4 linked regions of the Callithrix jacchus genome follow. The protein of the gene in region 4 purifies or fractionates together with the protein of the main gene of each other region. This does not show direct contact. Links are inferred from orthologs where the notes say so. Each region holds a gene or a part of one and is shown on either strand. Other genes may lie near its edges.

Region 1 (6,755 bases), on a different chromosome or scaffold from region 4:
GAGAGGCTGAGGCAGGAAAATCACTTGAACCTAGGAGGCAGAGGTTACAGTGAGTTGAGATCACTCCAGGCTGGGTGACAGAAAAAAAAAATTGTAGAGTCATGGTCTCACTATGTTGTCCAGGCTTGTCTCAAACTCCTGGGCTCAAGTAGTCTTCCCACTTCCCAAAGTGCTGGGATTACAGGTGTGAGCCACTGCACCTGGCCCAGTTGTCTTGTTCTTTAAGCTTCCAATCCAGCAGGCCCCACCGCATATCCAGCGCTAGAGTGCAGGGTTTGCTTTGCCTGTCACAGGAGCCAGGGCACAAATAAGGGCACTGCAGTTGGGAGTCCACTGGGCTTCAGTCACTGCCCCCACCCCCATGTCACCAAGGTCAGACATGGGTGACCTCACACCACGCACAGAGCACTGGCTCATGGCAAGAGGCAGAGTTCAAACTTTATTGCTGCCAACTAGTTTTGTGACCATGGGTTAAGTTTGTGGCCTTGAATCTCCAAATCCCAGAAGAATGATCAGAGTCCACTACATGTCAGTCCCTAGGCTGCACGTTTTAATGGTATCATTGTGTTTTATGCTCCATCAAGCCTGTTGTTTTGTTTTAAAGGTGAGGAACTGAGACTTGCAGTTTTTGTGCGGTCACAGCAAGTTCAGTAGCAAAGCCAACATCAAGTGTCAATCAGGGCCACAGAGCCTCTTCCATACTGCCTTGGTGGCAGTGCAGCAGGGACCTACTCTTATCATTGCTTTCACATCCCTTTGTAAGCAATACAACCCATCTTTTTTTTGAGACGGAGTCTTGTTCTGTTGCCCAAGCTGGAGTCCAATGGCACAATCTTGGCTCACTGCAACTTCTGCATCCCGAGTTCAAGTGATTCTCCTGCATCACCCTCCCAAGTAGCTGATATTACAGGTGCATGCCACCATGTCCAGCTAATTTTTGTATTTTTAGTAGAGATAGGGTTTCACCATGCTAGGTTGGTCTCGAACTCCTGGCCTCAAGTGATGTGCCTGCCTTGGCCTCCCAAAGTGCTGGGATTCAGGCATGAGTCACTGCTCCCAGCCTACAACCTGACTTTTTTTTTTTTTTTGAGACAGAGTCTTGCTCTGTCACCCAGGCTGGAGTGTAATGGTATGATCTCAGCTCACTGCAACCTCAGCCTCCTAGGTTCAAATGATACTGCCTCAGCCTCCCAAGTAGCCGAGATTACAGGCACATGCCATCACGCCTGGCTAATTTTTATATTCTTATTTGAGATAGGGTTTTGCCATGTTGGCCAGGTTGGTCTCAAACTCCTGGTCTCAAGTGATCCACCTGCCTCGACCTCCCAAAGTGTTGGGATTACAGGCATGAGCCACCATACCCAGCCTACACCCCAACTTTCAGTACATCTTTGGTTCCTGGGGTGAGCGAAGCCAGGCCCCAGCACTTGGTGCTGCCACCACTGCAGCTGCAGAACCTGGCAGGCTCTGAAGAGCCACTCCCAGGTGGGAAGTGGTAGGATGGAGCCAGCCCACCCCTTTCCGGACGTCTCTACACCCTCCCTGCTCAAACCTCCTTTTTAAGTACTGTTGACTTGATTCTAAGATTGCCAGGAAATAGATCACCTGATGACATGAAAATGTCATTTTTGGAAAGCCTGGTCATGCACTTTAGCAGAAGATTTGGGGTGAGGTAGAAGGGATTTATTTTGTCTTGCTAACCCTCAGAATCAAAGCCTGTCCCCAGCCCGACAGCTTCCAGCACAAAGTGTCAGAACCATAGGCCCAGCCAGGGTCCAGGCATGGCAGGCGATTTTGCTGGGCCCTGGCATTGTTATTACAAATGGAGGGCATGGCCATCTTCTCTTTCAGGGACAGGCTGGCCTGACATGGAAGGTGAAACAAGGCAGCAGCCCTTGCCTCTGGGAGAACAATGCAGAGTGCAGCATCAGGGAGCTGAGGAGTCCTGGGCAGGTTACAGCTACATCCTCTAAATGGGCACAATTTGTCCTGTCACCTAGAAACAGTTCACATGTGGACAGAGAGCAGCCAAGGCCTCTGCAGAGAAACCCCAGGCCAGCTGGGCCAGCACAGGCTAAGCAAGGGACCCCCAGGGCACAGACTTCAAAGGAAGGCCTCAGCAGGCCCACAGCTGCTGCCCAGCTTCCTCAAGCCACACACACCCTCACATCTGGGCCTGAGAGGCCCTGCAGGAAGACCTCATGGGATGCAAGGACTTGTCAGGCAGAGGGTGGGCCCTTGGTCCAAGAGGCACAGAATCCCCAATCCACGAGACTATGTGACCTCTTTACAACTGGGGAAGACTTTGATGATGATCTGTGATCTAAGACTGGCAGGTTATTAATCGAGATACACTTGTTAGGAGGGATAGGGTTCCCCAAAGGCACTTTTAAACATACTATGTAAGAACCACCAACAATAAAATTACTGTCAAACAGATCATTTCTCTCTATGCAAATGTCATTGGTTAAAGTGCTGATACCATTTAATTAGATTGTTAACAAATATAACAGGATAGCTACAAAGAGATCTTACTGGTGGTTTGGAAATGAGGGAACTACAGTGGTGAAGAGACCAGGAGGCAGCTCTCAGTGACTGCAGATGCCCTTCATGAGCTTTCTCAGTCCCTGCAGGAAGCCCACAGCACTGGCTGCCACTGCCTGCGCCAAGACAGCCCCCTCCCTTGCTTACCCCCAGACAACACCTAGGCTTACTTTATCTAGAATCAGAGAGTACCAGGTCTCTAACAGAAAAATCAACTAAATGTCAGGGACCTATGAGTCATGGAAAAAAAAAAAAAAAAAAGAGTGGAAGGCCATTAGTCAAGCTATGTGCTGGGCTGCTAATGCAGCCCCTGCATGGGGGCGGTCAGGAGCACACTGCAGTGAGCCTCAGGTCTCGCAGGCCCAGCACCGCTGCAAGGAGCCAGGGAACCCGGAGGCCGGTCTTGTTTCTCAGACATCAGTGCACACACATGAGGACCCTACCCTCATATCACTTGTTTTGCTGCTTCCTAAATGGCTTCTTGCACCTCAATCCCTGATCCTGGAAGAAGGCAGAGAAACTGGCCCATACAGAGACCTGCAGTTCTACAGTAGCTTAACATAACTATGACACACAAGGTGGGGGACAACAGAAGAGGTGGGCAAAAGCAGTCACAACGGTGGAGGATGCTTCGAATACTGGATGGTGTCCAGAGCTGCCCCGATGTCATAATTCTTGGTCTGCAGGAGCCTGGTGAGCCAGCCACCTTCGTCAGAGAAGCCCATGGACAGCATCTGGGAGAGGGACTCAATCAGCCGTGGGTCTGCCTCTGCCAAAACAGTAAGGAAGCCATGAGGAATGGCTCTGAGCCCCCTGAGTGACCCAAAACACACAGCCTCCTGCCTTGGCCAACTGGGACCAGGTCTGCCAGTGGACAAGCCTGCCCAGAGCTCTGGCCCAGGCCACAGTGGACCTGCTTTCTCTGTAAAGGGCCAGTCTTTTTCACACTGCTCAACTCTGCCACTGTGACACAAGGCAGCCAGGTGGTATGTAAACAAAACTATCAATGGACACTGAAATATGCATTTCATCTAACTGTCACATTATTTGATTTAAAAATATAAGAAATACTCTTGGCGCATCAGCCATAGCTCACCATCCCTTCCCCTAAGGTGGAGAAGACACACACCAGCAGCCCATGGCAGGCGGTGCACATAGCCCTTGGTTTACCCACGGCTGCCATGTGACAATGAGTCTCAGCTGCGTGTCAGCTGTCCCCCCACCCTACCCTCACTGCCTTCTACACCACCCACTTCAGTGGTGGCTTCTGCCTGGCTATCGGGATCTCGGCTATGACCCCCACTCTCAGGCCAGCCCTCCCTGAGGAGACACTGAAGAGTCTGAGCCCAAGGTGAGTAGTGGGGACACACCCAGTGCTGCCCCAACTCTGTGTCACACCTGCCTTAATTCCAGGTCTGCATGTTAAGTTTTAGAAACTTCTACAGTTAATATTCCTTGCTCTGGAGTTTGCTTCAAGAAAAAAATTTTTAGAACTACATTAGCAGAATTTACTCGCTGTTGCTCAGTGTAGACCTAAGAGGACTCCTAACCTCCCTAGCCTACAGACAAGCCCCAAAGTGGAGAACATCCCATCCTTATGTTTGTGTCGCTGAAATCAGAAGGGGACAGGATGCTCTGAAGGGAAAGGTAGGAATGAATACAAAGCCTCTTGGTTCACTTGCCTGGTGGCAGATGCGGGTATAAGGCAGCTTCCTTCAGCCCTGTGGGTCCCTCCTGGGAGGGATCCAAAGAGCTTGGCCCTTCAGATTCTGGCATCTGTAGGGACTGAAGTTCACCTGTAGATGGGTCCACTTCTTTTGAAGACAAATGGGTCCAGTCATCATCTCCTCCTGAACAGTTATCAGATTCCATCTGTTCCTGGAACAAAACGCACCATGAGCACACAGGAGACATTCCCTACAGGCCAAGCCTGACATGACACCAACTCCTGGCATGTGTTTAAAGCTGCAGGGGGCTACAGGGAATAGTGAGTCACTCTCAAAGACCAAGTAACTACAAAATTCTAGCAGGTTCCCAAAGGACTTTAATGCCACAGACATCACTACAGGAACAGCAGCAGCTCCCTTGGATTTTATAAGTGGGGCTGCATAGGTGCTGAGGATGAGGCAGAGGTGCAGGCCACAAATCACTAGGCTGGCCACAGTCCCAGGTGGCGGGAGGGGCACAAGCTTGCCTCAGGGTGCCCCTCGGACTCCAAGGCAATCTTTCTCATCTGCTCCGCCAGAGACTGCGTGGCGCCCTCAACGTTCCCACGGGGCTTGCTGGGCTCAGAGCAGCAGCTGCTTGACTGCAAGCTGCTCTTCTCTGTGCTGAAACACTCTGGAGAAACAGGGGTCAGGCGGCTTCTTTTCCCTCCATGCTCCACATCAATATCAACTTCAATGCCTAGAGGCCAAGGAGGAAAGAAAAAACTGTGAAGTTCCCCGAAGGATGCACCTGCAGGCAGGAGCTTGGCATGTGGGGACTGCAGACTCACAAAGATCTCACATTCAGTCCCCACAACAGGTAAAGGTCTGGATGGTGGCACTCAGCATGTGGATACAGGTGCTAGGTTCTCCTATTGAGCTTGACCCTAGAGTCACATAGCCAGTATGGGACCAGCCAAGATACAAACCCTTGAGTCAGAGGCTCTTCCCAGTATCCCAGCTCCAAATCTCTTGTGGCTTCTGGAAACTCTGTGTGCCTATGATACTGGACCTTTCTCTTTCTCCAATCCACTAAAACATGAACCTCAGCTAACATCTAAGGTCAGCTTCAGAGCTAGGAAGTCCAAAGAGACCTTATTTTTCCTAACCATGCAGGACATGGGCTACACTGCAGGTAGGGCCAGGCCCTAAGTACAGGGGGAGCCAATGCTACATGTGGCAGGCACCTCCAGCCAGTGATGGAAGGCTGTGTGTCTCATGATACTTGCACACAGAGGCTTTGTGTGATGACACGTACACGCACCTAAACGCTAGGGCTCTGCTCAGAGAGGTGGACAGGCCATGCAGTCAAGGCGTAGGGCCCAAGGTTGGCAGCACAGGGAGCCTGCACACCTCCAGGCTCACATAACTCACCAGGGACAGAGGGAGGAATCACAATATTTTTAAAATTACATGTGTCAAAAGTCTCCATACCCACAGCTTAGAGTCACCAGTTGCCAGAGGCTGTGATGCATATTCCCTGCTCCCATTCCACTCCCCAAAGCCTCCCTGGGCTCTTTCAGCTCATGCTACTCTTGCCTACTGATAGAGTTCACATCTATGCACTTCTTACTCTAGACCAGTATCTGCCTCCCCTTCCACTACCCTTTCTAAGACTCAATTTTTTGTTAAAACAACGTTCAGTGTTTCAGTTAGTACCTCTGTCTTAATGTTATTTGCTGGGTCAATTAGCAGACTATTTCCTTGTATAGCTTTTTGTTTTCTTATCACTAATGATGCCTTCTCTCTTTTTTTTTAGACAGTCTCACTCTGTTGCCCAGGCTGGAGTGCAATGGCACGAACTCAACCACTGCAGCCTCTGCCTCCTGGATTTAAGCAATTCTCCTGCCTCGGCCTCCTGAGTACCTGGGACTACAGGCATGTGCCACCACATGCGGCTAATTTTTCGTATTTTTAGTAGGGATGGGGTTTCACCATGTTAGCCAGGATGGTCTTGATTTCCTGATCTTGTGATCCGCCTGCCTTGGCCTCCCAAAGTGCTGGGATTACAGCATGAGCCACCACACCTGGCCTTCTTTGAGATGAAGTCTCGCTCTGTTGCCTGGGCTGAAATGCAGTGGCACAATCTCGGCTCAATGCAACCTCCACCTACCAGGTTCAAGCAATTCTCCTGCCTCAGCGTCCTATGTAGCTGAGATTACAGGTGCCCGCCACGACACCCAGCTAAGTTTTATATTTTTAGCAGAGATGGGGTTTCACCATGTTGGCCAGGCTGGTGTTGAACTCCTGACCTCAGGTAATCTGCCCATCTTGGCCTCCCAAAGTACTTGGACTACAGGCATGAGCCATTGCGCCCAGCCTGCCTTCTCTTTTCATTTGCTAACTCTCCCCATGTTCTCCCACAGCATCTCCATAGTTTTCTACAGGGGTGAAGTGGATCAGAGGCCCCACTGGTTCTGGTGTTTTCCTTAGAGAATGCCCCTTGGTGTGCAGCCTCCTATTCCAGCCAGGACTGGCAGCTCTCTGGGCAGAGGCTCTGTTGTG
Region 2 (7,347 bases), on a different chromosome or scaffold from region 4:
CCTCTCATCTCTACCTGATCTTAAACGAGACTCGTCCATCGGGGCGGGTTCTTCCTCCAACTCTCAGCTCCTTGGAGGAGCCCGGACCTCCTCTAGAAGCTGAAGGGTAAGGAGTACCCCCAGGTCTTGGTTATTCTCCTGTCGGGGAACAGACTGCAGGGTGTCCCTGGACCTCGGCAGAAAGGCCTGTGGAAATCGCCCTGTCCTTTTTGCTCATGTCTCCTGAGTTGGGGGAACCCTCACAACCCACTCACCCCATTTCACTCTCTTCAGTCTCGTGGCTACTCCAAGATTGAGTACAGGGAGGGAGTTTCATCCTGACATTCTCTTCCCGGACCCCCCGCTCCCCCCGCTCCCCCCTCTTCTCATGTCATTAGGGGCTGAGGGCGCGTGGAAATGAGAGCCCCAGGCCTAGCACGGGCAGGCAGTTGACTCTGGACTAGCCACTTCCTTGCTTTGAGCCTCAGTTTCCTCCTTCATCAGGTGGGAAGGACATGGGGGTGTGTTGGAGACACTGGGTACCCCCCGGTTCAGTGGGGTTTTGGGGCTGAGCAGTCATCAGTTTCAGCTCCACTTGTGCCCTGTGTAGCTTGTGCTTTCTGGCCAGTGTCGTAAGTTCTGAGCCTCACTTTGCCATCTACATTAGGAGATCTGTTTTGGTTTTTTGTTTTTTTGAGACGGAGTCTTGCTCTGTCGCCGAGGCTTAGAATGCAGTGGTGCCATCTTGGCTCACTGCAACCTCCTTCTCCCGGGTTCAAGCGATACTTCTGCCACAGCCTCCCAAGTAGCTGGGACTACAGGTGCGCTCCACCACACCCAGCTAATTTTTGTATTTTTAGTAGACACCAGGTTTCAGCATATTGGTCAGGCTGGTCTTGAACTTCTGACCTTATGATCCACCAGCCTCAGTCTCTCAAAGTGCTGGGATTACAGGTGCGAGCCACAGTGCCTGGCCAACATCTGTCCTCCTAAAGGCAGGTAGGATGGCGATCAGAATTTGGAACAGGCTCTGGATTAGATCGTCGGAGTCCAGATCCCAGCCCTCCCTCTTCCAGTTGTGGGGCCCTTCAAGGTGCTGACTGTCCCTGGGCCTGAGTTCGCGACTGCAAAGTGGGGTGAGCTGTAGCTATGGCTCCTGCCTCATAGCTTAGGTAAAAGGGTGGGATGAGAAGGTTGAGCCCGTCTTTGGTCCTGGCATGGCTTCTGGGAAGTGCTGGATAAACCTCTTCCTTCCCTCGGGGCTTTGGACTGAGTGAGTCAGATGCGGGGTGGGGGGGGAATGCCAGATGTGGAATCCCAGCACTGAGTAGCTGCTCAGTAAACACGATCGTGAGTCATAAAGGGCCTGCAAGTTTCATTCCAACCCGGGACTCCCTGCTCCCTTAACCCTGGCATGCTGGACCACAGCTCTGCCTGAATCCCTGCAGTGATGGTGTGCTCACTGCCTCCCCAAGGAGCCTCTTCCAAAGCCCAACAGCTCTGGCTCAGCTACTCTGGTTAAAGGGAAAGAAAGTGAGGCACAGAGAGGGCTAGTGAATGAGCAGTCCAAGGTCACACAGCAGGTTTGAGACAGGGCAAGGACCCTTGCCCTCGATCATCTCACCGGGTAAGGAGATGCCCCCTGCTTTGTCTGCTTGGGGCCAACCTGTCCTGTGAACACAAATCCCTTATTTCAGGGGAATTCACAGTCTGATGCAGGAGGCAGCGGGGTACAGCTGTCACAAGTTCAGGTGACATGAGCGCTCATGGAGGAAGCCCAGGGCATCGGGTGGGCTCCTGAAGTCATCTGCTGCACCCTGGGTGATCAGGGACGACAGAGGACCTGCCAGAGCAGTCTTGTAGAAAAAGCCACAGGGATTTCCCCGCACAGAGCAATCCCAGCACCATTTCTTCCCCTTGTTCAGCCCTGACTCTCTGAGGCCTCAGTCGTGGAACCAGCCAATTCCCTCTGGAAGGAAGAGTGCTGGGGAGGTGGCCACTCAGACATGGTGGGACCCCCCCCAGGGAGGAAACTGGCTGGATCTAGGGGTGAGTGCAGGTAGGTGGGGAACGGAGCACGAGTGATCCAGGGTTTGGGGGGTCCGTGTTGTCTGAAGGCTGTGGAGGCAGGATGGCCCAGGAGCCAGGGATGGCTAGAACACACGGGGCCTCCAGGGCCAGGCTGAGGGCCAGGGACCCTGTCCTGAGGACTCTGGCGAGGAGTAGCAGGAGCTCCAGGTGCAGAAGGACCCCCCTGGGACTTGGGCACCACGCTGTGGATGAGACGTGCAAGCTCCACGTGGAATTCCACATTTTCCAAAAACCATGACGAAAGAGTCAAAGCAGATAATTTTTTTTTTTTTTTTTTTAATAGAGACGGGATCTCAACATGTTGCCCAGGCTGATCTCGAACTCCTGGGCTCAGTGATCCACCTGCCGTGGCCTCCCAAGGTGCTGAGATTGCAGGTGTGAGCCACCGTGCCTGTCTGTTCTGCTTTTTTGTACTCAGCCTTCAGAATCAGGTACGGGCTTGCCTCTCAGCATCCTCTCTGCTGCGACTCCCCACTCACATGTGGCTGGCGGCTCCCACAGAGGCCAGGGCAGGGCCAAAGGGCAAGGAGCGGGGTGGCAGGAGGAATGGGGCTGGGGCTGATGGCTCGCTGGGGCCTGGGACTGCGAGGGAGGGCTGGATGGTGAGAATCTGGAGAGTAGCAGGTTTGGGGAGGACACGCAGCACCCCTGGGACAAGGTGGGTGGAGGGGGTGAGTGCCATCCAGGGAACAGGCAGACACCCTGGGTGGGTGGTGGAGGGAGTGAGTGCCATCCAGGGAATAGGCAGATACCCTGGGTGGGTGGGTGGGTGGGTGGAGGGGGTGAGTGCCATCCAGGGAACAGGCGGACACCCTGGGTGGGTGGTGGAGGCAGCCAAGCCTCAGCCCCCTCTGTCCTGCTCTGGCCGCAGGGCGCGGATGGCATCGGGGCGTCCCGAGGAGCTGTGGGAGGCCGTGGTGGGGGCCGCTGAACGCTTCCGGGCCCGGACTGGCACGGAGCTGGTGCTGCTGACTGCAGCCCCACCGCCACCACCCCGCCCGGGTCCCTGTGCCTATGCTGCCCATGGCCGAGGAGCACTGGCTGAGGCGGCGCGCCGCTGCCTCCACGACATCGCGCTGGCCCACAGGGCTGCTGCCGCCGCCCGGCCTCCTGCGCCCCCACCAGCACCGCAGTCACCCGACCCCACACCCAGCCTGCCCCAGCCTGCCCTGGCAAGGGAGGACAACGAGGAGGATGAGGATGAGCCCACAGAGACAGAGACCTCCGGGGAGCGACTGGACGTCGGTGATGACGGAGGTGAGAGGGCGTGCACAGGGGCAGGGGCAGCCCAGCGTTTGACAAGGTACCCGCTGGAGGCTTTCCTGGGGTCTGGGGTGGTGGGACCTGCTTAGTCCTGAGTACTTCCATCGAGATGCGGTCTCAGGACCCCAGAGCCAGACAGGCTTGCCTGGGACTTGCTGTGTGATCTGAAGCCAATCCCTTCCCCGCTCTGAGCCTTACTGGTCCTGGAGCCAGCTCTGTGCTAGAAGTGGTAGCCACAGGGACACAGAGCAGACTTTGGCCCTTTTCAAGGGGCTTCCAGTCTAGCCAAGGAATTGGAGTCCTGATGAGGGTCGGGGGGTTCTGGAGCAGGGCATAAGTAGAACCAGAGTCATTTCCACGATGACTGGAAGTCAAGATAGGAGTGGAAGAGCTGTCAGGGATGCAGCAGACATCTGAGGAAGCCCCCCATTCAGCTGTTGTGGGGGGCATCTGGGGGTTGAATACTTCCAGAGGTTGGGTTGTAACACTAGGGCTTTGAGGAGTGAGTAGGAGTTTGATCAGTAACTAGGAGGTCCTTTTTTGTTATTACTTTTTTTTTGTCTTTTTGTTTTTTTCCTTTTTGTGGAGAACGGGGTCTCACTATATTGCCCAGGCGGGTCTCGAACTCTTGGGCTCAAGCTATTCTTCCACCTCTGCCTCCCTAAGAGCTGGGATTACAGGCGTGAGCCACAGCGCTCGGCTGTAATTACTAATGGCTGGCCTCCTACCTGTTGTGGGAGAAAATCCACATGGGGGAGGGCAGGCATCCTGAGTTCAAATCCTGGTGGTGTCCCTTAGTAGCCATGGGACCTCCGACAAGTGACTTAACCCCTCTGGGCCTCCAGGTCTCCTTTGTCAACAGAGGTCACGGTCATCCCGTATTTCTCTCAGGCTGTATTTTCAGTCCCATCGTCCCGAACAGATCGTAGCGGTTTCCTGTTAGCTACGTCGTGTGTAGCCGAGAAGGTGACAGATGCATAGAGGGTGTGTTTCTGCCGATGACCAGGCAGGTGGCTAGGGGAAGGGTTTTCGAGGTGAAGGAAGTGGGTCTCAGCAGGGAGGCGGGGACCATGGTCGGGGCCGTGGCTGGGGAGGAGGGCACACGGAGCATGGCCAGGCGCCCACTGGCCCGGGCCTCTCACTCACACCATCCACAGGGCTCTTCGTGATGGATGAGGATGCCACCCTCCAGGACCTTCCCCCTTTCTGTGAGTCGGACCCCGAGAGCACAGATGGTGAGTGTCCTGGGTGGTCCCCTCCCTACCTGGAGGTGGGTGGCTGGCACAAAGACACAGACGCTGAAATTTACCCTCGCTTTCAGATGGCAGCCTGAGTGAGGAGACCCCCACTGGGCCCCCGACCTGCTCAGTCCCCCCAGCCTCAGCCCTGCCCACACAGCAGTATGCCAAGTCCCTGCCTGTGTCTGTGCCCGTCTGGGCCTTCAAGGAGAAGAGGACAGAGGCACGGTCATCGGATGAGGAGAATGGGCCGGTAAGGGGCAAATGGGGGGAGGTAGGGAGGGCAGCTGGAAGGGCTCTGAGCCACTTCCTCCAGGAAGCCCTCTGGCATGGATGCTACTTTCCACCCATAAGCTGACTGAATCCTCCCCTCAAACTCAAGAAGCAAGTTCTTGGGCCCAAGCCTTGCAGTTTTAACAACTGCGGCCTTACCGTGTGTCCTAGTGCCTTACAGAGAAGCCCTCTCCTTTCCAGGAGCGTCTTCATTTGTAGAACACTTGCTCTGGGCAAGGCACAGGCATTCCCTCTAGATGGGGAAACTGAAGCTTGGAGAGTTCAGATCACCTCCCATCCCCACCCTGCACATTCCCGGCTCTTTGCAGAATTTGTCCCACCCCCCGGTCTCGTTCATCCCTGTTTGAAGCTCCTGGGCTGGGCTAGCCTGGGTGGGTCCTCCTCACCCCTCACTGAGGCAGTAAGAGGACATGTGACTTCCCTGAGGGGCAGAGCTGGGACTGGAATCCAGCTGCCTTTCAGGAAGGAGCTGTGGGCTTTGAGGGAGGTGGCCTGGGTCCCCACAGTCCATGCTCTCAGACCTCAGTGTCCTCATGTGTAAACCAGCAGTCACAGTGGTCACGTCCTCCCTACCTCCTTCCTCCACGAGGCAGTGGGCGCTGAAGAGCAGGAACCAGGCCCGGTGCAGACAGGGTCTGCCTGCTGCTGCTGTCTGTGCTTGGGACGCACAGCAACACAGCTCATTGGATGCTCTGGCCTCCCCCTGGTCAGGTCCAGTTCCTGATCTGGGTCTCTGGGTCCCATCCTGCAAGGGAACAGGCCCAGCTCAGGTGTCGGGGCTGTAGTGGAGGCAGGACCAGGTGCTGGAGCTGCAGGCAGAATGGCAGGACCGCTCCTTGGTGGGGGCTGACACAGGGAGGGACGCTTTCTGTACAGCAGGGGCCACATGATACAGCAATAACAGCTGATTATCTCAGCCCTCACAGAGATCCTGCTGCCCACCCCATTTCTCAGAAGGGGAGACTGAGGCCTAGGGAAGCAAAACCTCTTGCTCCCAGCTAATTAGCAGCAGAGATCTGATTGGAACATGACTGAAACCCCAGCCCAGATCCTCAGACATGAGGCAGTGCACGCAGCCTTAATGGCCAGCAGACAACAGCACTTCCAGTGTGTAGGAAGCAATGTCCCAGGCCAAGAAGGGGAGGCGGGGGGGAAGGGCAGGAAGGCTTCCTGGAGGAGGTGTCTGAACCAGGTAAGAAGTGTTCCTACGCAGAGCAAGACGGGGAAGAGCACTGCTAGCAGTGGGCATCTCAGGGCACAAGTGGCCGGGGGGCGGGGACGTGCTAGGAGTGGGCTTGGAGCCAGGGTGCGCGCCCAGGCTGCGTGTGGGTGCAGGGGTGGCCATGCTGGCGCCGACCTCGCCCTGTTGCCGTCCCCGCAGCCCTCCTCTCCGGACTTGGACCGCATCGCGGCGAGTATGCGCGCACTGGTGTTGCGGGAGGCCGAGGACACCCAGGTCTTCGGGGACCTGCCACGGCCGCGGCTTAATACCAGCGACTTCCAGAAGCTGAAGCGGAAATACTGAGGCCCGGGGCGGGAACGTCCCGGGCCGCGTACGCTCCACCCCACACTACGTCCCCGCCCCATGCCCGGGGCCCGCCAAGCCGAGGCTGATCTGGGAGCCCTCCAGGATTGACCAGTGTCTGCCAGTCCCCGCTGCCCTTCCAGCCCGCGACTTCCAGCGCCGAGGAGCGGGATATGCCCCTTTTCTCGATTGCCTCTCTCTGCCCAGCGACAGATTCCTTCTATTAAGGGATTGGCTCTCTCAGTTCTAAGCCCTAAACGGGTCCACTCCGTTGTTTTCTGCCTAGCGACAAGGCCTTCGGTCGCACGGCATTGGTTCCATCCCCTAGTCGCTGGGCAGTTCTTTTTTTTTGATTGGCTCGAATCTTGTAAAGGGCTTGAGTTCTCCCTCCTGATTAGCTCCAGCTTCCTGGGGGCATGGCCAAGCCCTCCTGTTCCCAGAATTGGCCTGGGGCCTTCGATTTACGTTCCTTACACTACGGGGGCTAGGGTCGTTTTTGCCCAAGTCCTGACTGCTTCTCCCCTGACCCCCTCAGGGATGGCCCCAAACTGTCCCTGCGGCTGACACCCCCTTTCATTGGTTCCATCCATCGCCACAACAGCCTGCCAATCAAAGCCCGTCCCTGCATCCAGGATGGTACCAGCTCCCAACCCTCGCTCCCCACCTCCACAGGTGCCTTAAAGGGCCCTCGTCCACCCAAGGCGGGAGGCAGGGGGCCTCACTCTCCGGCCCTGGTGTGGGGGAGAGAGTGAGGGGTTGGGGGACCGGCAGTTGGGAAGGGCGCTCTGAGATTAAAGTTTTACCTCTGTGTTTTGAGTGTTCGTTGAACATGTTCTAAAACCGAATTACGGCGTCTGATTATCAGTGAACAGCTGGGGGTTGGAATTGCTGTGCCCATTTTATTTTTAAATTTTGAGACAGGGTCCCACTGTCCCTCAGGTTCAAGCAATTCTCCTG
Region 3 (8,412 bases), on a different chromosome or scaffold from region 4:
TGAGTCAGCGGGCCTGAGCAAGACTCAGTGGTAAAGGCACCACTGGCCACAGAGGTTTCCAGCTAGAAAAGCAACACCCCAAACATCCCATAACATTACTTTACCTGTTCAAATGTGGACTACGAAAGGATATTGAAAAGTTGGGTATCTCAGAGACTTATATGTTAAATAGATAATAACACACCACAAAAGTGGAAATCCAAATAGCTAGTGGTATACAAAAAGGTCATCAACAGCATCTGTAATCAGTAATGCTAGTTAAGACCACGAGACACTACTACATACCCACCAGACAGGTAATACTGAAAAAGACTAACAATGTCAAGTGTTGTGAAGGTGTGGAGCAATGGGACTCATACATGCCTAGAGTACGTAACCCTCTAGAAAAGAACTTGGCATTATTTATTCTAGTTTATGATACATATTACCACTCTCAGGTATATGCCCTATAGAAACTTACGGTAGATGTGATGGAATACATCTATGAAGAATGTTCACATTAGCATTTATAACAGTCCTAAACTGGAAACAACCCAGATGCCCATCAGCAATAGAATGGCTAAACATATTGTCACATACTGTTACAATGAGACACTGTAATATGCAGCAATGAAAATGAACACATTACAGCTATGGGAACAACCTGAACAACATATGAATTAAAAACAATGTTGAGCAAAAGCAGCAAGAACAACAGATTACATATTATATTGTTCTAGTTACATAAAGTTCAAAAGAGTGAAACTAAACAACATATTTTTAGGGATGTATGCTTGCAACAAGACAATAAAGAAAAGCAAGGAAATGATTATCACAAATGTCAGAATAATGGCTACATTTAGGAGGGAGGCAAACAGTTGTGCTCAGGAAAGTCATGGGGCAGGGAGAGGGACTTCTGAGTTGCTGGAAATATTTTATTTCTTGACCTCGTTGATCAGTTATATGGTGGTTTCCTTTATAATCACTTATTATACTATATAATTGCTTTATGTATTTAAAGTATATTTCACAATAAAAATGTTAAAAGTAATTAATATACTGTGGATAGCATTTCTGGAGAGCAAAATTTTGCCAGATAATTTAGCTTACACAATCTTTGACAGTAAAACCCACTGATGTGGAATAACAAAACACTGATTGGTTTCTCATTAGAGTTCACTTTCAAGTGTAAAGGTCAAAAACCGTGTTATGTTTTAACACAGTATGTAAATCTTTATCATAAATTGATGAACCAGGGAAAGAACTATTAGCTAAAACTTCAGATTTTTTGGAACTTTGAATTAACTAGCTATTTCTCCTCTGGATTAATAAGCATACAAGGAACTAAAGAGATTCAGACCAAGTTGGAAATTGTGTGAACTTCCTTCTCTCCAGTCTCCAGTTGCAGCTGTTTCCTCCAGTTATCAAGCTGGGTGTTGAGGTGGGTATCTAGCCTAGTAAGCTTAGAGTGCTGTTATTAAATACTTTCTAAGTAGGTGGCTCAGGGCTTTCCTGAGTGCCATTCTGTTCTACAGCACTGAGGCTGTAAGGGGGAGCCACGGACAATGAAAACAGATCAGGCTGCCGAAAAACTCTATGTGGAACACACTTAACTGGAGGTGTTCTCTGCTGGGCTGCAGAACTCTGATGTTTCCACTCTTTTCCGTCAAAGCCCACAAAGCTTAAACTCTCTGAGGTGCTTAGCTTCACAAAATCCCCTAAATCTGTGTGTTTTACTCCTTTAATTTCCACCATTCCCCTGCTGTAATATAGGAAGAGGGGGGAAAACAAAAAATCTTTATATGGTAGCCATGTGAGACCATTACTTTTTGGTCTGATTAACTGTGAGTCTCATTTGGAAGGATGTAGCAGGGGATTGGTCATGTAAAGACAGAAAGATCCAGGGTAATTTAAGCAGGACTTTTTTTTTTTTTTTGAGACAGAGCCTTGCTCTGTCACCCAGCCTGGAGTGCAGTGGTGAGATCTCGGCTCACCGCAACCTCCGCCTCCTAGGTTCAGGTGATTCTCCTGCCTCCGGAGTAGCTGGTGTGATCTGCCCGCCTCCGCCACCGCCTCCCAAAGTGCTGGGATTACAGGCATGAGCCACCGCGCCCGGCCTTAAGCAGGATGTTTAACCTGGCTCTTGCAACTTCAGGTCAAGGGCAGTAAGGTCAGATGCTAAGTCTGTGAGACTCTCCTTGGTTTTGCCACATCCTCCTTTGCCCCTCCCACCACCTTTCCTGTAGCATTTTAATCAACAGGAGCCCTTGGATTTACCCAGTTAAAATATTCCTTAGTTTACCGTTTGCAGATGGTGGTGGCAGTAGTGGCAGAAACCCAGAGCTTCCCAAATTTGTTTATAATACACTTGCTCCTATCTCACCCCTCCTCGAGGTGGAAATACTTGTAATATCCATTACTACTGTTTTCAGAGGAGGTGGAATGTACTAGGGTCCAGCGACATAATTGTGAAATTTGCTTTCATTATTGTTGCTGCTTTAATGTCTTTCTGATACGATTGACCATTCTCATGCTATTCACTCAAGACAGATTTCTCAGGATTCGGATCCTTTTATTAAAAATTTTTTTTCCTGGAGAACTACACTTTAAACTTCATGAGTTTTTACTTGACGTTCCTTTCCAGGATAACGTCTGTAGGAAAAGCTGCACTAATAGTAATAATATTTGTTTTAGAAAGAAAATAACCTTTGAGTCAGACCTGAAACACAGGCCAACATTTCTTGATGACACTGTACACTGATGAACCAAGACGAGAAGCTCTCGAAAGCTCCAAACCGTAAGAAAGAACGATTCGTAAAAGTGTGGCACTACTAATGAAATTCTTCCCTTGAGAGTCAAAAATCCTTCCACAATCTCCCGGATGATGGTTCCCTTCCAATCCTCCCTCCCCGCCGCCCTAAAAATCTGCCCGAGGATGGGTTCCTTCCCCTGCCCAGCATTTCATCTCCTTTTCCACTGAAGACTCAGGTTGTGACTCTGTACTCAGGCCGCACCCCTGTTTCCTTTCATAGCTAGGGGGAGGGGAGGAATGTATTACAACTCATTTTTACAATGCACTGCAGTTTGAAAAGCGCTTGCACTTCCACCATATCCTATGAGCTTCGCGAGTGCCACGTGAGGAGGCATTCATTCATTCATTCATTCATCAAACATTTGCTCTGCCCGACCACACGTTATCCAGCGCTGAGTCTCACCCCACGCCACGGGAAGGGTGGGGCGCTCTCTCCCTGGGGCAGGTGCAGTGGATCAGGCCGTGGGGTAACTCCTCGATCAGTCCGGCTTTTCGAGGGCCTGTTTGGAGCCAAATGCCTCACCTTCGGGTGGTGCGCGCAGTTGCCTGAAGGCGCGGCCTGGGCCTCCTACTTCCTCCCAAAGGAGCAGTCCCACCTGCCCCGCAGGAAACCGCTACAGAGCAAGCTCTCCGGGCCGCCCTCGGGTCAGGGGTAAGATCGGGCGGCAGCTTAGGCTTGTCTCGGCTCCTCCCCTTCCTCTCTTCAGTTCTGACGCGGCCGTAGAGGCTGCAGCAGCGGCGGCGGCGGCTGCAAGTCCCGCGGCCCGAGGCGCACCCACCCGCTCGCCTATCCCCACTTCCTCTTCCCTTGGAGCGTCATCAGAGCGCGCCAGAGGCGCCCAGGGCGGGGTGGCTGGACTAGGAAAAAAGGCCCGCGGAGGAAGCCTCAGAGCGGAAAGAAGAGGGAGGGGGAGGAGAGCGGTTGCTAGGTGACTTGCGTCATCTGCAGGCGCCGCTCTCCTCCCGCCCCTCTCTCTCTAGAGTGAGGCGAGAGCCCCGCACAGAGCGAGGGAGACAGCGAACTGAGCTCCGGGCGCTGCCGCCGCCGCCGCCGCCGCCGCCGCCGAGAGTAAGAGCGAAGGAGCATCCGAGAGACTCAGCCCCTCTGCACTGGCCGCCGCTGAGACCTTCGCCCTCACCTGGGTCAGCGGGAGCCGCGGCCGCACACCTCTCCCCCCCTCACCTTCCCGGCCGGCAGCAGAGGCTGCACACGCCGGAGCCGGAGCCGGAGCCGGAGCCGGAGCCGGAGCCCGAGCCCGAGCCCGAGCCCGAGCCCGAGCCCGAGCCGGAGCCGGCGGCTTGGGGGGCAGGGAGGCGGCTACCGCGGGCCGGGACTGGGTAGCTGCTCCGCGGTGAGAGAACGCTGAGGAGGCGCCGGAGCTTCTGCCTCGTCCCGGGGCGTGGGGCGTGGGACCCCCAAGGTGTAGGGAGGGGGGTCCCAGCCGCAGCGACACATGCAGGAGCCGGGAGCGGGGGCGGCGCCGAGCGGAGCCGGCAGGGTCCCCCGCCTCGCCGCCGCCTCGGCCACCCGCCCGGGTCCGTAGCATCTTGCCCCGGAGTGTATGAGCCGGGGCCCCAACCAAGCTCTGCAACCACCCCCCCGGCCGGGGGGACTGGGACCCCGATGTGAAGCAGCGGCTGGGGCGGCGGAGAGAGCGGGACCGACGCCGCCGTCCTTTCCTCACCTTCCCCCTCCCCTCAGCCCCCTTCGGGGGTCTTCTCCCTTGGCCAGTCGCCGGCCCCCCGGCTCCTTGGCTGGACTCCGGGAGGAGTTCTTAGAGCCCCCCTCCCCCGCCCCAGCCCCCAGGGCGGCGGGGCCGGGGGGGATCCGGGGGGCCGGCCACAGCCTCCGCCCAGAGGAAACTTTATAAAAACAAAATCCAGAGCCTCCCAAACGTGACTGTCCTGGGAGAAGTGGCCCTGGACGGGCAGGAGTCGCAGCCTGAAAAGACCCAGGAAGAGGAAAAGAGGAGGTAAGCGGGGCCGCCGCCTCCTCGCCCCTGGCAGCACGGAAGAGACCCGAGTGGCCGCCTGGTTTAGCGACACGAGCCGCTTCTTCCTCAGGACCGCGCTGCCGCCTCAGTCCGAAGGAGGAAGGGAACCAGCCCACTTTCTCGGCGCCGCGGCTCTTCTCTAAAGTGTGAGTGGCCCCGTGAGAGGGAATTGAGGGGAGAAAGTGGGAGGATGCCGGCGCTTCCTCCTGGAGTTTTGCTGATGTTCCCAGGAGTGTTGGGAGTCACAAGAGGGTCTAGCTTTATTCACAGAAGGGAGAAGGTGTTAGGGAGGCCTGTATTTCGTAACTTTTTAACTCTGTACGAGTAATGCAAGTATGCAGGTTTCTCTTGGAGGAGTTCCTTCTTCAGAGTGAATACTCGCACCTTTCTGGCCAGTAATTGGCAAAGGGAAATTGAGGAAGCCAGAGGATGTGTGCGCACAGAGGCCATCTGTATCTGTAACCTTTTCCTGGTACTGTGGGTGTGTACAGTGTTCTTTTTGTTTCTGGGGTACTCTTATATAGGACCCCCGAAAGCAAAATTCCCTTTTTAAAAAAAAAAATGAAAAAACAGTCTTGGGAGATTTTCATTTAGTACCTATTGATACAGGAGTTAATCTTCTCAGTTCCTGGGTCTGTGTGTCAGGAGACACTGTAACAGATTTCACTTAGGAACTTGATTTCTTAGGAATCACAGCTTATCTGGGGAAGAGCATTTATCACATTAATCATTTTATAAAAGTGATTTTTTTCCCCTTCACCAAGTTTTTATTTTTTTTGGAGTAACATCTTAAATGACAACACTTTTTAATTTTGTTTGAGGTTTTGCTATTTTGTATTGTCTTTATTTCTGTATCAATTTAGGATACACTTTTGATATTTAATTCTTTCAGGAATGACTTTTTCCTTCCATTGTTTTAAAGTTGAAGTCTATAAAACCTTTGACTTGCATTTTAGTAATGTTCTCAAAGTACCAAATTAAAGTTTCATGGAAGTAATTAACATATCATATACAGTCCTTAAGGGTTAAACATAGAGTAGAATTTTATGTAAGCAGGCATAGACAGTACTATAGTGAGAATTGTGGTCCGTCTAGACAACTGTGTGGGCTCCTTCTGTCTGAAGCCACTGCTGAGAGTTGCTTTGTGGTAATGAATGTAAGCCTGGGGTTATCAGTCTATCTGAAGTTCTCCATTCAGGATCTTGATTAAATTTATTTAAAACTCAAACTTAACAATGTTTGGTCCTATTCTTTTAAAGTAATGAGTTCTGCAAGTTTATTAGCCTCTGTATTATGTGACAATTCATTTATAAATTCCATAGGCAATTTATTTATATATTCCATACCTGTGTCCATAAATTTTCAGGACACAGCCAGAGTTTGTGTTTCGAGAAATACCAGAACAAGCCTCAGTTCATCTTTCCTTACTTTTATAGTGTTTTATTATTTCTACCATCAGTTTCTCCAACTCTTGTCTTAGAATAATGTTTCTTATTTCTTTGACCACTTTTTCCTCCTCTGGAACTTCTCCCACTGTACTGTTTTTCTTTAGTTGCCTTACTATGTTTTGGTAAGGAACCTTAAATTCTGTCTTTTAAGTGTGTACTGACATGAAAATATTGAATAGTGGATGTAATGTTAGACTTAGAATCAGAGTCATGTATTTTGTTTTTCACAAAGATATGATAAAGAGAAATGTAGTCATGTAGAACCTGTATTTTGAGAAGGAGGGGAGGACAAACTAAGAAACAAACTGTAGTTTGAATGTAGGTTGCATTCTGTCAAAGTTGCTCACTAACTTTTGGACTACTTGTATTGCTTTAACTATAGATTGGTTAAAAATTTTGGTAATTTTATTTTATGTTATTTTGAGATGGAGTCTCTCTCTGTCACCCAGGCTCGAGTGCAGTGGTGCAGTCTTGGCTAACTGCAACCTCCACCTCCCAGGTTCAAGCGATTCTCCTGCCTCAGCGACCCCAGTAGCTGGAACTACAGGCGTACGCTACCATGTCTGGCTAGTGTTTTTGTATTTTTAGTGGAGATGGGGTTTCACCATGTCAGTCAGGCTGGTCTCAAACTCCTGACTTTTTTTTTGAGATGGTGTTTCGCTCTTGTTACCCAGGTTGGAGTACAATGGCGTGATCTCGGCTCACCGCAACCTCCGCCTCCTGGGTTCAGGCAATTCTCCTGCCTCAGCTTCCTGTGTAGCTGGGATTACAGGCACGCGCCACCATGCCAAGCTAATTTTTTGTATTTTTAATAGAGACGGGGTTTCAACATGTTGACCAGGATGGTCTCGATCTGTTGACCTCGTGATCCACCCGCCTTGGCCTCCCAAAGTGCTGGGATTACAGGCGTGAGCTATCCCGCCCGGCCACAAACTCCAGACTTTAAATGATACACCCACCTCGGCCTCCCAAAGTGTTGGGATTACAGGTGTGAGCCACTGTGCCCAGCCAGAATTTATTACATGTTTGAGTAGAAATGACAAAGTATTTGGGGTCCCTGTCTTTGAGATGCTTTGACTTGTAGGTGGTGGAGACAATCAAACACAAATTGCACGAAGCTACTGGGGAGATAGACCAATATTTAAGATCACACTAGATGTTAGATATTATATGGCACTTTATAGCTGTTAATGTATTTTTACATTTTTCACTAGTGAAATGTTGCTTTTGTGTAGAACTAATTGAAGTGTTAAAGCAATATCTGGAAACATTTCTTTTAGGAAGAAAAGAGCAAGTGGAGACAAAATATTTAAGACTTTTAGAATGGGGAAGCATAAGGGACAGATAAAATTATGAAGTTGGTCTGAAGGGAATACAGATGGAGGTTGTTGAGTAGTGTTAGGGTCAGTTGTGTTTGTGTAGACACATGATTACAGTCAGAGAAGCAATTGAGAAGAGTGTTCCTGAGAGAGTAGTTTCAGATGACTGGGGAGAAATTACATTTTAGGCAAAGCCATTGTGCCTGGATTGGGTTTTTTTTTTTTTTTTTCTCTAGGAACCAACATTTTTACGTCATGGCTATTGAGCTATACAGAAGGAGTGAAAAAGAAGATGCTTAGTGTGTTGCTGGTAGCTTCTTACAAAAAAGAGTTTGGAAATGGGACAGTAAACTTTGTTATGGATGTTAAATTGTAGGGCAACAGTTGGGTACTGGTGTAGTTTCCAGACAGCAAGATAGTTCAGCAGGTAATACACTGAAAATGTAAAGTTGGAATTATTTTCGATATATTTAGGTTTTCCAGAGTACTGATGGAAAGTGAAGAGCTGAAAAATGGGTGTTTTTAGTTGGGAGTGGAAAATCTGAATGAATGAGACACTCCCTAAAATAGATGTTTTAAACGTGGGTAAAAGTTGAAGTTGAAAAGGAATGAGCAGGCTTTAAACATGGCCACCAGTTTAGTCCCAGGGTATATTATTCTGTATTTTTGAAACAAGCTAAAAGTTTTCTTTTTCTTTTTTCTTTTTAAATAGGGTATATAGGTCTCTTGAGATTTTAAGAAGAGTATATATAATTTCATTGTTAAAGAACTTAGAAGGACAGTTTTGTTTTCTCAAATTCATATTTTTAAAGTTCACTCTGCATTATTATCCTAAGTTTAGTCTTAATATGACGAAGTGA
Region 4 (7,811 bases):
TAGGATATTTGACTTCAAATATCCTAAGTTTAATTGTATTCAGCCTGGAGCAGATGGCCTGTGGGCCTTAGACCATATAAAGATGCACTGGTTCTTTCCTGAGAATAGAAATCCCATGCCAGCCTCCTTCCCCCCTTACACACACACACACACACACACACACACACACACAACTGGAGTAGTTTTCTTAGGGATTCTTAAGTTTCCTCTCTTCTAAAGAGTGACATTTTCTTCTGCAGTCTTTTTCTTGGCACTGGAGTATTTGGAAGCTTTTCAAAACCACTTATTCCGTTTTTTCCTCGGTATCTTACAAATCCGTTCAAAAATAAGAATTTTTAGAAATGGTTTTGTAGTATAAGCCGGACATACTTAGGATGGGTGTATGTTACTTCAGAGCAGTGTAGGCTGAGCCCCGTTAAGGCCACTGTGTTGTAGTTGGCTGATTTTGTATTTCCCCCAGAATTGTAAGCTGATTGAGGGAAGGAACAGTACATGATTGAGGAATGAGGGAATGATCTCAGGAACTAATTGGTTTCTTTTGGCTTACATTTGAAGTGCTAGTCTTCTATAGAATTGCATTGTTCAATACAAGAATTATCAGCCACATGTGGCTGTAGAGCACTTCAAATGTGACTAGTCCAGGCTGGGCATGGTGGCTCATACCTGTAATCCCAGTACTTGGGAGGCCAAGGTGGGTGGATCACCTGAGGTCAGGAATTTGAGTCCAGCCTGGCCAACATGGTAAAACCCCATCTCTACTAAAAATACAAAAAAATTAGTGGGGCCTGATGGTGGGCACCTGTAGTCCCAGCTACTCAGGAGGCTGAGGCAGGAGAATCATTTGAACTAGGGAGGTGGAGGTTGCAGTGAGCTGAGATCACGCCACTGCACTCCAGCATGGGTGACAAAGCAAGACTCCTCAAAAAAAAAAAGTAACTAGTTCAAATTGACATTAAGTGTAGAGTGCACATGCGATTTTGAAGACTCACTACAAAAAAAATGCACACTATATCAGTTTTAAAAAATATTGGTAACATGTTGAAATGATATTTGGATATGTTGGTTTAAGTAATTAATTTCACCTGTTTTTTTCACTTTTGGAAATATGGCTACCAGCAGCTTTAATATTACATTTGTGGATCATTTTATTTCCTTTTTCTTTCTTTTTTTTTTTGTTGAGATGGAGTTTTGCTCTTGTTGCCCAGGCTGGAGTGCAATGGTGTAATCTCAGTGCACTGCAACCTCTGCCTCCCGAGTTTAAGCAGTTCTCCTGCCTCAGCCTCTCAAGTAGCTGGGATTACAGGCATGCACTGCCACACCAGCTAATTTTGTATTTTTTATAGAGATGGGGTTTCACCATGTTGCCCAGGCTGGTCTTGAACTCCTGACCTTGGGTGATCTGCCTGCCTCAGCCTCCCAAAGTACGGGGATAACAGGCATGAGCCACTGTGCCTGGCCTGTGTTTCCATGAGACAGTGCCTCTGTAGAATAATAATCTCCCTTTTTAGACTGAACTTGAGGAAAGGGGCAGTCTTAGTCATTTTTAATTCTTTCGCTACCTCCCCACATTTGTTACCTGGCACTGTGTCATGTACATAGGAGTAGTAGCAATAATAATAGTTAACAAGTATTAAGAACTCAGTATATGCCCTATACTGTCTTAAACACTTTTTAACATGTTTAACTGATTTAGTCTTCACATCAACCCATGAATTAGGTACTATTGTCTTCCTATTGTAGTTGAAGAAACTGAGACATTTTGAGTCTCACATACCTTTCTCAAGGTATGTGACCTTATTTTTGTTGTTTTTTGTTTTTGTTTTTGTTTTGAGACAGTGTACTGGCGGGATCTCGGCTGACTGCAATCTCTGCCTCCCAGGTTCAGGTTATTCTCCTGCCTCAGCCTCCTGAGTAGCTAGGATTACAGGTGCATGCCACCACACCCAGCTAATTTTTGTATTTTTGGTGGAGATGAGGTTTCACCAGGTTGGCTAGGCTGGTCTCGAACTCCTGACTTCAGGTGATCCTCCCAACTCAGCTTCCCAAAGTGCTCAAGGTATATAACAAAAGGATTCAAATCCAAGTAGGCTAGCTCCATAGCCCACAATTTGACTCTCCCCACTACACTGCCTCTTTTATACATCAGTCATTGTTGACTGAATCTAGGCTTTCTAAATCTTCCTCCAAAAGATCTCTCAACATTTCTAGAATCCCTACCTGACAAGGACTAGGGGGAGATCTGTGTTGAGTTATCAGGGCCATGCATAAATTTATCGCCATACTTTCTTACCCAGAATATTAAAGGAAACTTCTCTCTAAGGAACCTCAGGGCAAGATGCTTGGAACTGGACCTGCCGCCGCCACCACCACTGCCACCATATCTAGCAATGTGAGCGTTCTGCAGCAGTTTGCCAGCGGCTTGAAGAGCCGGAATGAGGAGACCAGGGCCAAAGCTGCCAAGGAGCTCCAGCACTACGTCACCATGGAGCTCCGAGAGGTGGGCTTCTGTGATTTGGGGCCAGCCATTGTGGGATGTTTGCGCTAAATGTACCATCACTGGTGTAGATTTTTTGGATAGCTAAGTGAAGATTTGGAAAATAGAGATTATTTTAGAAAGGTCCCCAACCTCTTACATCCATAAAAAAGGCAGGTTCGTTTGCAGCACTTGCACATTTCTGTGGCATTTTTCTTGTTTGTGGTTACATTTGAGGGGCTAGAATAGACTTAGCTGTTTCTTTTAACTTTTTCTTTTTACCTAAGCACATACCATACCCTCAATGCTTCCTGTCTGTTAACAGTGATTGGGATGGGTTTGGAGAGTTGAGAGCTAGGAGATTTCTTCTTTTTTCTTTCAGACAGAGTTTTACTCTTGTTGCCCAGGCTTGAGTGTAATGGTGCGATGTCAGCTCACCGCAACCTCTGCCTCCCAGCTTTAACCAATTCTTCTGCCTCAGCCTCCTGAGTAGCTGGGATTACAGGCACGTGCCACTATGCCCGGCTAATTTTTGTATTTTTAGTAGAGACAGTGTTTCTCCATGTCAGCCAGGCTGGTCTCGAACTCCTGACCTAAGATGATCCACCCTCCTCAGCCTCCCAAAGTGCTGGGATTACAGGCATGAGTCACTGTGCCTGGCCCCAGGGGCTTTCTAAATAGAGACCAGACTTGAAGTCAGAAACTGTCTTGTTTTTATCCTTGTATCCCTGGTACTAGAAAGAACCTAGGACAGGACATTTTCTGCCACAGAGTAGATACCGATTAAGTATTTGTTAAATAATCAGCTGATTGCAAGTTCAGGTGTTCTGCGATGTATTCTTACAGAAATTGCAGTAACTTGTCTTCTTTGGTTTGAACTACACTACCTGCCTCTCAGGAGCTAATCTTTAGATGCCAGGCCACCCCCACCACCACAGTCAGAGAATTATTAGAAATTGTTGTAATTACATCTTCTTTTGCAGATGAGTCAAGAGGAGTCTACTCGCTTCTATGACCAGCTGAACCATCACATTTTTGAATTGGTTTCCAGCTCAGATGCCAATGAGAGGAAAGGTGGCATCTTGGCCATAGGTAAGGACAGAGTCTCTGGTCACAAAAAACAACACACTCATCTTTGTGTCCACTGCACCCTGTGTCTGCACTTATTGGATGCTAGTTCATATTTGCTTAATGAAATTTAAGAAGCCCGTGGCTTTTAATTCTAGCAGCATTCCTGGGCTGCAGGCAAATGTATTTTTAGGTGTGGAAGTGGAGTCTCAGAACCACTGAGTGACTTTTCAGACAGTTTACCAGAGCTGAGACTAGAAGCCAGCTTTCTTTTTGGTTTTTTTTTTTTTTTTTTTTTTTTTTTTTGCCCTCACTCTGTTGCCCAGGCTGGAGTGCAGTGGCGCGATCTCGGCTCACTGCAACCTCTGCCTCCTGGGTTCAAGTGATTCTCCTGCCTCAGCCTCCTGAGTAGCTGGGACTGTAGGCATGTGCTACCATGCCTGGAGAACCCAGCTTTCTTTCCACTCCTTCATGGTGCCTTTTACAGGTACTGGTTCCTCAGTAGAGCAGGGTTTCTGATAGTGGGGCTCACAGATGGAAAAGTGGAATCAGTATAGTTAATAAAAGGCAGGTCATCTTTTTTTTTTTTGAGATGGCGTCTCACTCTGTCACTCAGTCTGAAGTGCAGTAGTGCAATCTTGGCTCACTGCAACTTTGGCCTCCTGGTTTCAAATGATTCTCATGCCTCAGCCTCATGAGTAGCTGGGATTACAGGCATCTGCCATCATGACCAGCTAATGTTTGTATTTTTAGTAGAGATGGGGTTTCATCATGTTGGTCAGGCTGGTCCTGAACTCCTGACCTCACGTGATCCACCCGCCTCGGCCTCCCAAAGTGCTGGGATTACAGGCATGAGTCACTGCACCCAGCCAGGCAGGCTATTTTTAACTTCTAAGGACTGGTCATCAGTCCTGTGAATTATTATTCAGTCCCAGTTGTTTTCTCTATTTTTTGGGGGAGGGAGCAGTTACCTATACTAGCCTGAGATTATTTTGCTTTATGTAAGTATTTCTGGCAGAAGTATTAAACATCTGGCTTAAAATGAAATTGTCTGCGTTCTTGCCATCTAGAAATGTACTCAAAGTAGAATGGAGGGATCACTTGCCAGCTTTTAGTTTAGGCTGTATGCTTTTTTGGCCAGCATAGGCCCTGTCATCACCTTTTGCCTTCCTCTCTTTTTCTAGCCAGCCTCATAGGAGTGGAAGGTGGGAATGCCACCCGAATTGGCAGATTTGCCAACTATCTTCGGAACCTCCTCCCCTCCAATGACCCAGTTGTCATGGAAATGGCATCCAAGGCCATTGGCCGCCTTGCCATGGCAGGGGACACTTTCACTGCCGAATATGTGGAATTTGAGGTGAAGCGAGCCCTGGAATGGCTGGGTGCTGACCGCAATGAGGGCCGGAGACACGCAGCTGTGAGTGCCTGCAGGGAGGAGCACAGCCAGGCCTGGGGAACGATGGTGTCATGGTGGGATCCTTTGCTTCGTTTTGAGGCTTATCCCTGAAAAAGGCTGTTTAGAAGGCTAGGATTCCAGGCTGTGAGATGTGGTAGAGTCTGTCCTTAAGAGAGAATTGCTGGGTGTGGTGGCTTACGCCTGTAATCCCAGTACTTTGGGAGGCGGAGGCAGGCGGATCAACTTGAGGCCAGAGATTTGAGACCAGCCTGGCCAGCATGGTGAAATCCCATCTCTATTAAAAAAAAAAAAAAAAAAAGAGAGAGAGAAAAAAATCTAGTAGTGGTGTGATGGGAATCGGAAGCATCAGCTGCATACTTTCCAGTCTGCTCCCCTTTAGAGGAGGCAGTACAGTGAGGAGAGAGCATGGTATCAGGAGAGGGACACACACTTGGACCCTGGCTCAAGTCTTGGCTCTCCAGCTTCCTAACTCTGTAACCTAGGGCAGCTTTTGACCTTCAGTTTCTTCCTCTGTCAAATAAAAAGAATATGATTAAACATTAAACAGGATCATCCATTCAACAAATAATTATTACATACCTACTGCATTCCAGGTAGTGTTCTAGGCTGTTGGTATAGTGGTATAGAAAACATAAAACACATCTGCGCTTCCAGAGCTTATGTTCAAACATTACTAGCAGTTTTTGTTTGTAAACAACATAGGATAGTGAACACTGAGGTGTTTCCTCAGTTTTGCTTCCATTCCTCTGTCTCCAGAATTTCCTAGCTAGAAGAGTGAGCAAGCCTTCCCTGTTGCTAGTGTATGACTCTAAGATGATAAGAGACTGCACCCGAGAGAACACAACTCTGGTACCGATGAGAGTTCTCAGTTTGCCTTTTTCTCCAGGTCCTGGTTCTCCGTGAGCTGGCCATCAGCGTCCCTACCTTCTTCTTCCAGCAAGTGCAGCCCTTCTTTGACAACATTTTTGTGGCCGTGTGGGACCCCAAACAGGCCATCCGTGAGGGAGCTGTAGCCGCCCTTCGTGCCTGTCTGATTCTTACCACCCAGCGTGAGCCAAAGGAGATGCAGAAGCCTCAGTGGTACCGGGTGAGGAGATCGCCCCATTCCAGCCTTTAGCAAAGCACATCTACATAGAGAATCACCTGGCCTAAAGGGCAGCCACAGGCTTTGCCAGTCTTATGTTAGAAAAAGAGCTCTGGACATGTGTTGGGAGACCTGGGTTCCAGTCTTGGATTTGCTGTGTGATATTGGAGCAAGAATCACTTTTGTTTTGGTCTCAAATGAATTTTTTTTTTTGCTCTGTTGCCCAGGCTGGAGTGTAGTGGCGCAATCTTGGCTCACTGCAACCTCTGCCTCTCGTGTTCAACCTCTGGCACCTCAGCCTCTCGAACAGCTAGGACTATAGGCATGCACCACCATGCCCAGATAATTTTTGTATTTTTGATACAGACAGGGTTTCGCCATGTTGGCCAGGCTGCTCTCGATTTCCTGACCTAAGGTGATCCACCTGTCTCGATTTCCTGACCTAAGGTGATCACGCCTGTAATTCCAGCACTTTGGGAGGCCAAGGCAGGAGGATTGCTTGAGCTCAGGAGTTTGAGACCAGCCTGGGCAACATATGGGACCCTGTCTCTACAAAAATATATAAATATATATATATTAGGTGGGCATGGTGTTGCACACTGTGGCCCCGGCTATTTGGGAAGCTGAGGCAGGAGAATTGCTTGAGCTGAAGAGGTCAAGGCTGCAGTAGTCGTGATCACGCCACTGCACTCCAGCCTTGGCAACAGAGTGAGACTCTGTCTCAAAAAAAAATTTAAAAAAAGACATCTCTTGCACCATTGCACTCCAGCATGGGTAACAAGAGCGAAACTCCATCTCAAAAAAAAAAACAACAACAACAGCAACAAAAGACATCTCTTTTCAGAGGTGTTAAAATATGGAAAAATTGGTGTCTCAAAATCAGTGAAATACAAATGATACTAATTTAGAAAGTGCCAGTTCTCTTTGCTCTAGTATCATGAAGCCTGTGCTGATTGCTTCTGCAGAGGGAACTCATCAGTAAGTCTTACGTTAGAAATAGAGCTCTGAACATGGGTTGAGAGGCCTGGGTTCCAGTCTTGAGTTTGCTGTGTGATCTTGGACAAGTCACTTAAATTCTTTTTTTTTTTTTGAGATGAAGTCTCACTCTGTCACCCAGGCTGGAGTGCAGTGGTACAATCTCGGCTCACTGCAACCTCCGCCTCCCGGGTTCAAGTGATCCTCCTGCCTCAAGCTCCCGAGTAGCTGGGACTACAGGTGCCCACCACCATACCTGGCTAATTTTTTTTTTTAATAGAAACAGGATTTCACCGTCTTAGCCAGGATGATCTTGATCTCCATGATCCGCCTGTATCGACCTCCCAAAGTGCTGGGATTACAGGTGTGAGCCCCTGCACCTGGCCAAGTAACTTAAATTCTTTGAGCCTGAGTTTTTAGCTGTTAAATAGGGATGATGATGGTATCTTCCTCAAAGGCTCATTATGAGACTTGAAGCTGGGGCTGGGCACAGTGGCTCACACCTGTAATCACAGCACTTTGGGAGGCTGAGGTGGGTGGATCATGAGATCAGGAGATTGAGCCAACCTGGTTAACATGGTGAAGCCCTGTCTCTACTAAAAATACAAAAATTAGCCAGGTGTGGTGGTGTGTGCCTGTAATCTCAGCTACTTGAATCCAGGAGTTGGAGGTTTCAGAGAGCCGAGATCATGCCACTGCACTCCAGCCTGGGCGACAGAGCAAGACTCCATCTGTCTCAAAAAAAAAAAAAAAAGGAGAGAATTGAAGCTGAATTAAATAAAAGAGCTTGATCA

What was found.
Region 1: the proteins of MTOR (region 4) and SQSTM1 purify together in Homo sapiens (affinity purification with western blotting; 4 studies listed by BioGRID, with this or other methods). This does not show direct contact. The link is inferred for Callithrix jacchus from reciprocal best matches to the Homo sapiens genes MTOR and SQSTM1.
Region 2: the proteins of MTOR (region 4) and AKT1S1 purify together in Homo sapiens (affinity purification with western blotting; 8 studies listed by BioGRID and IntAct, with this or other methods). This does not show direct contact. The link is inferred for Callithrix jacchus from reciprocal best matches to the Homo sapiens genes MTOR and AKT1S1.
Region 3: the proteins of MTOR (region 4) and FBXW7 purify together in Homo sapiens (affinity purification with western blotting; 9 studies listed by BioGRID and IntAct, with this or other methods). This does not show direct contact. The link is inferred for Callithrix jacchus from reciprocal best matches to the Homo sapiens genes MTOR and FBXW7.

What each region holds. Positions count from the first base shown.
Region 1 is NC_133503.1:71,806,453-71,813,207, forward strand, and holds the end of SQSTM1 (sequestosome-1), read right to left. Parts: intron 6,133-6,755; exon of another isoform or gene 6,010-6,132; intron 5,071-6,009; exon of another isoform or gene 4,951-5,070; coding exon 4,739-4,950; intron 4,423-4,738; coding exon 4,227-4,422; intron 3,314-4,226; coding exon 3,156-3,313; 3' UTR 2,464-3,155; downstream 1-2,463. UniProt on the Homo sapiens protein: Molecular adapter required for selective macroautophagy (aggrephagy) by acting as a bridge between polyubiquitinated proteins and autophagosomes.
Region 2 is NC_133523.1:43,644,998-43,652,344, reverse strand, and holds the end of AKT1S1 (proline-rich AKT1 substrate 1), read left to right. Parts: exon of another isoform or gene 1-1,115; intron 1,116-1,904; 5' UTR 1,905-1,985; coding exon 1,986-2,038; intron 2,039-2,353; exon of another isoform or gene 2,354-2,501; intron 2,502-2,941; coding exon 2,942-3,327; intron 3,328-4,490; coding exon 4,491-4,568; intron 4,569-4,654; coding exon 4,655-4,824; intron 4,825-6,246; coding exon 6,247-6,390; 3' UTR 6,391-7,200; downstream 7,201-7,347. UniProt on the Homo sapiens protein: Negative regulator of the mechanistic target of rapamycin complex 1 (mTORC1), an evolutionarily conserved central nutrient sensor that stimulates anabolic reactions and macromolecule biosynthesis to promote cellular biomass generation and growth.
Region 3 is NC_133504.1:44,159,512-44,167,923, forward strand, and holds the start of FBXW7 (F-box/WD repeat-containing protein 7), read left to right. Parts: upstream 1-3,770; 5' UTR 3,771-4,764; exon of another isoform or gene 4,765-4,855; 5' UTR 4,856-4,931; intron 4,932-8,412. UniProt on the Homo sapiens protein: Substrate recognition component of a SCF (SKP1-CUL1-F-box protein) E3 ubiquitin-protein ligase complex which mediates the ubiquitination and subsequent proteasomal degradation of target proteins.
Region 4 is NC_133508.1:49,125,804-49,133,614, reverse strand, and holds part of MTOR (serine/threonine-protein kinase mTOR), read left to right. Parts: intron 1-2,294; 5' UTR 2,295-2,335; coding exon 2,336-2,497; intron 2,498-3,456; coding exon 3,457-3,565; intron 3,566-4,725; coding exon 4,726-4,958; intron 4,959-5,844; coding exon 5,845-6,045; intron 6,046-7,811. UniProt on the Homo sapiens protein: Serine/threonine protein kinase which is a central regulator of cellular metabolism, growth and survival in response to hormones, growth factors, nutrients, energy and stress signals.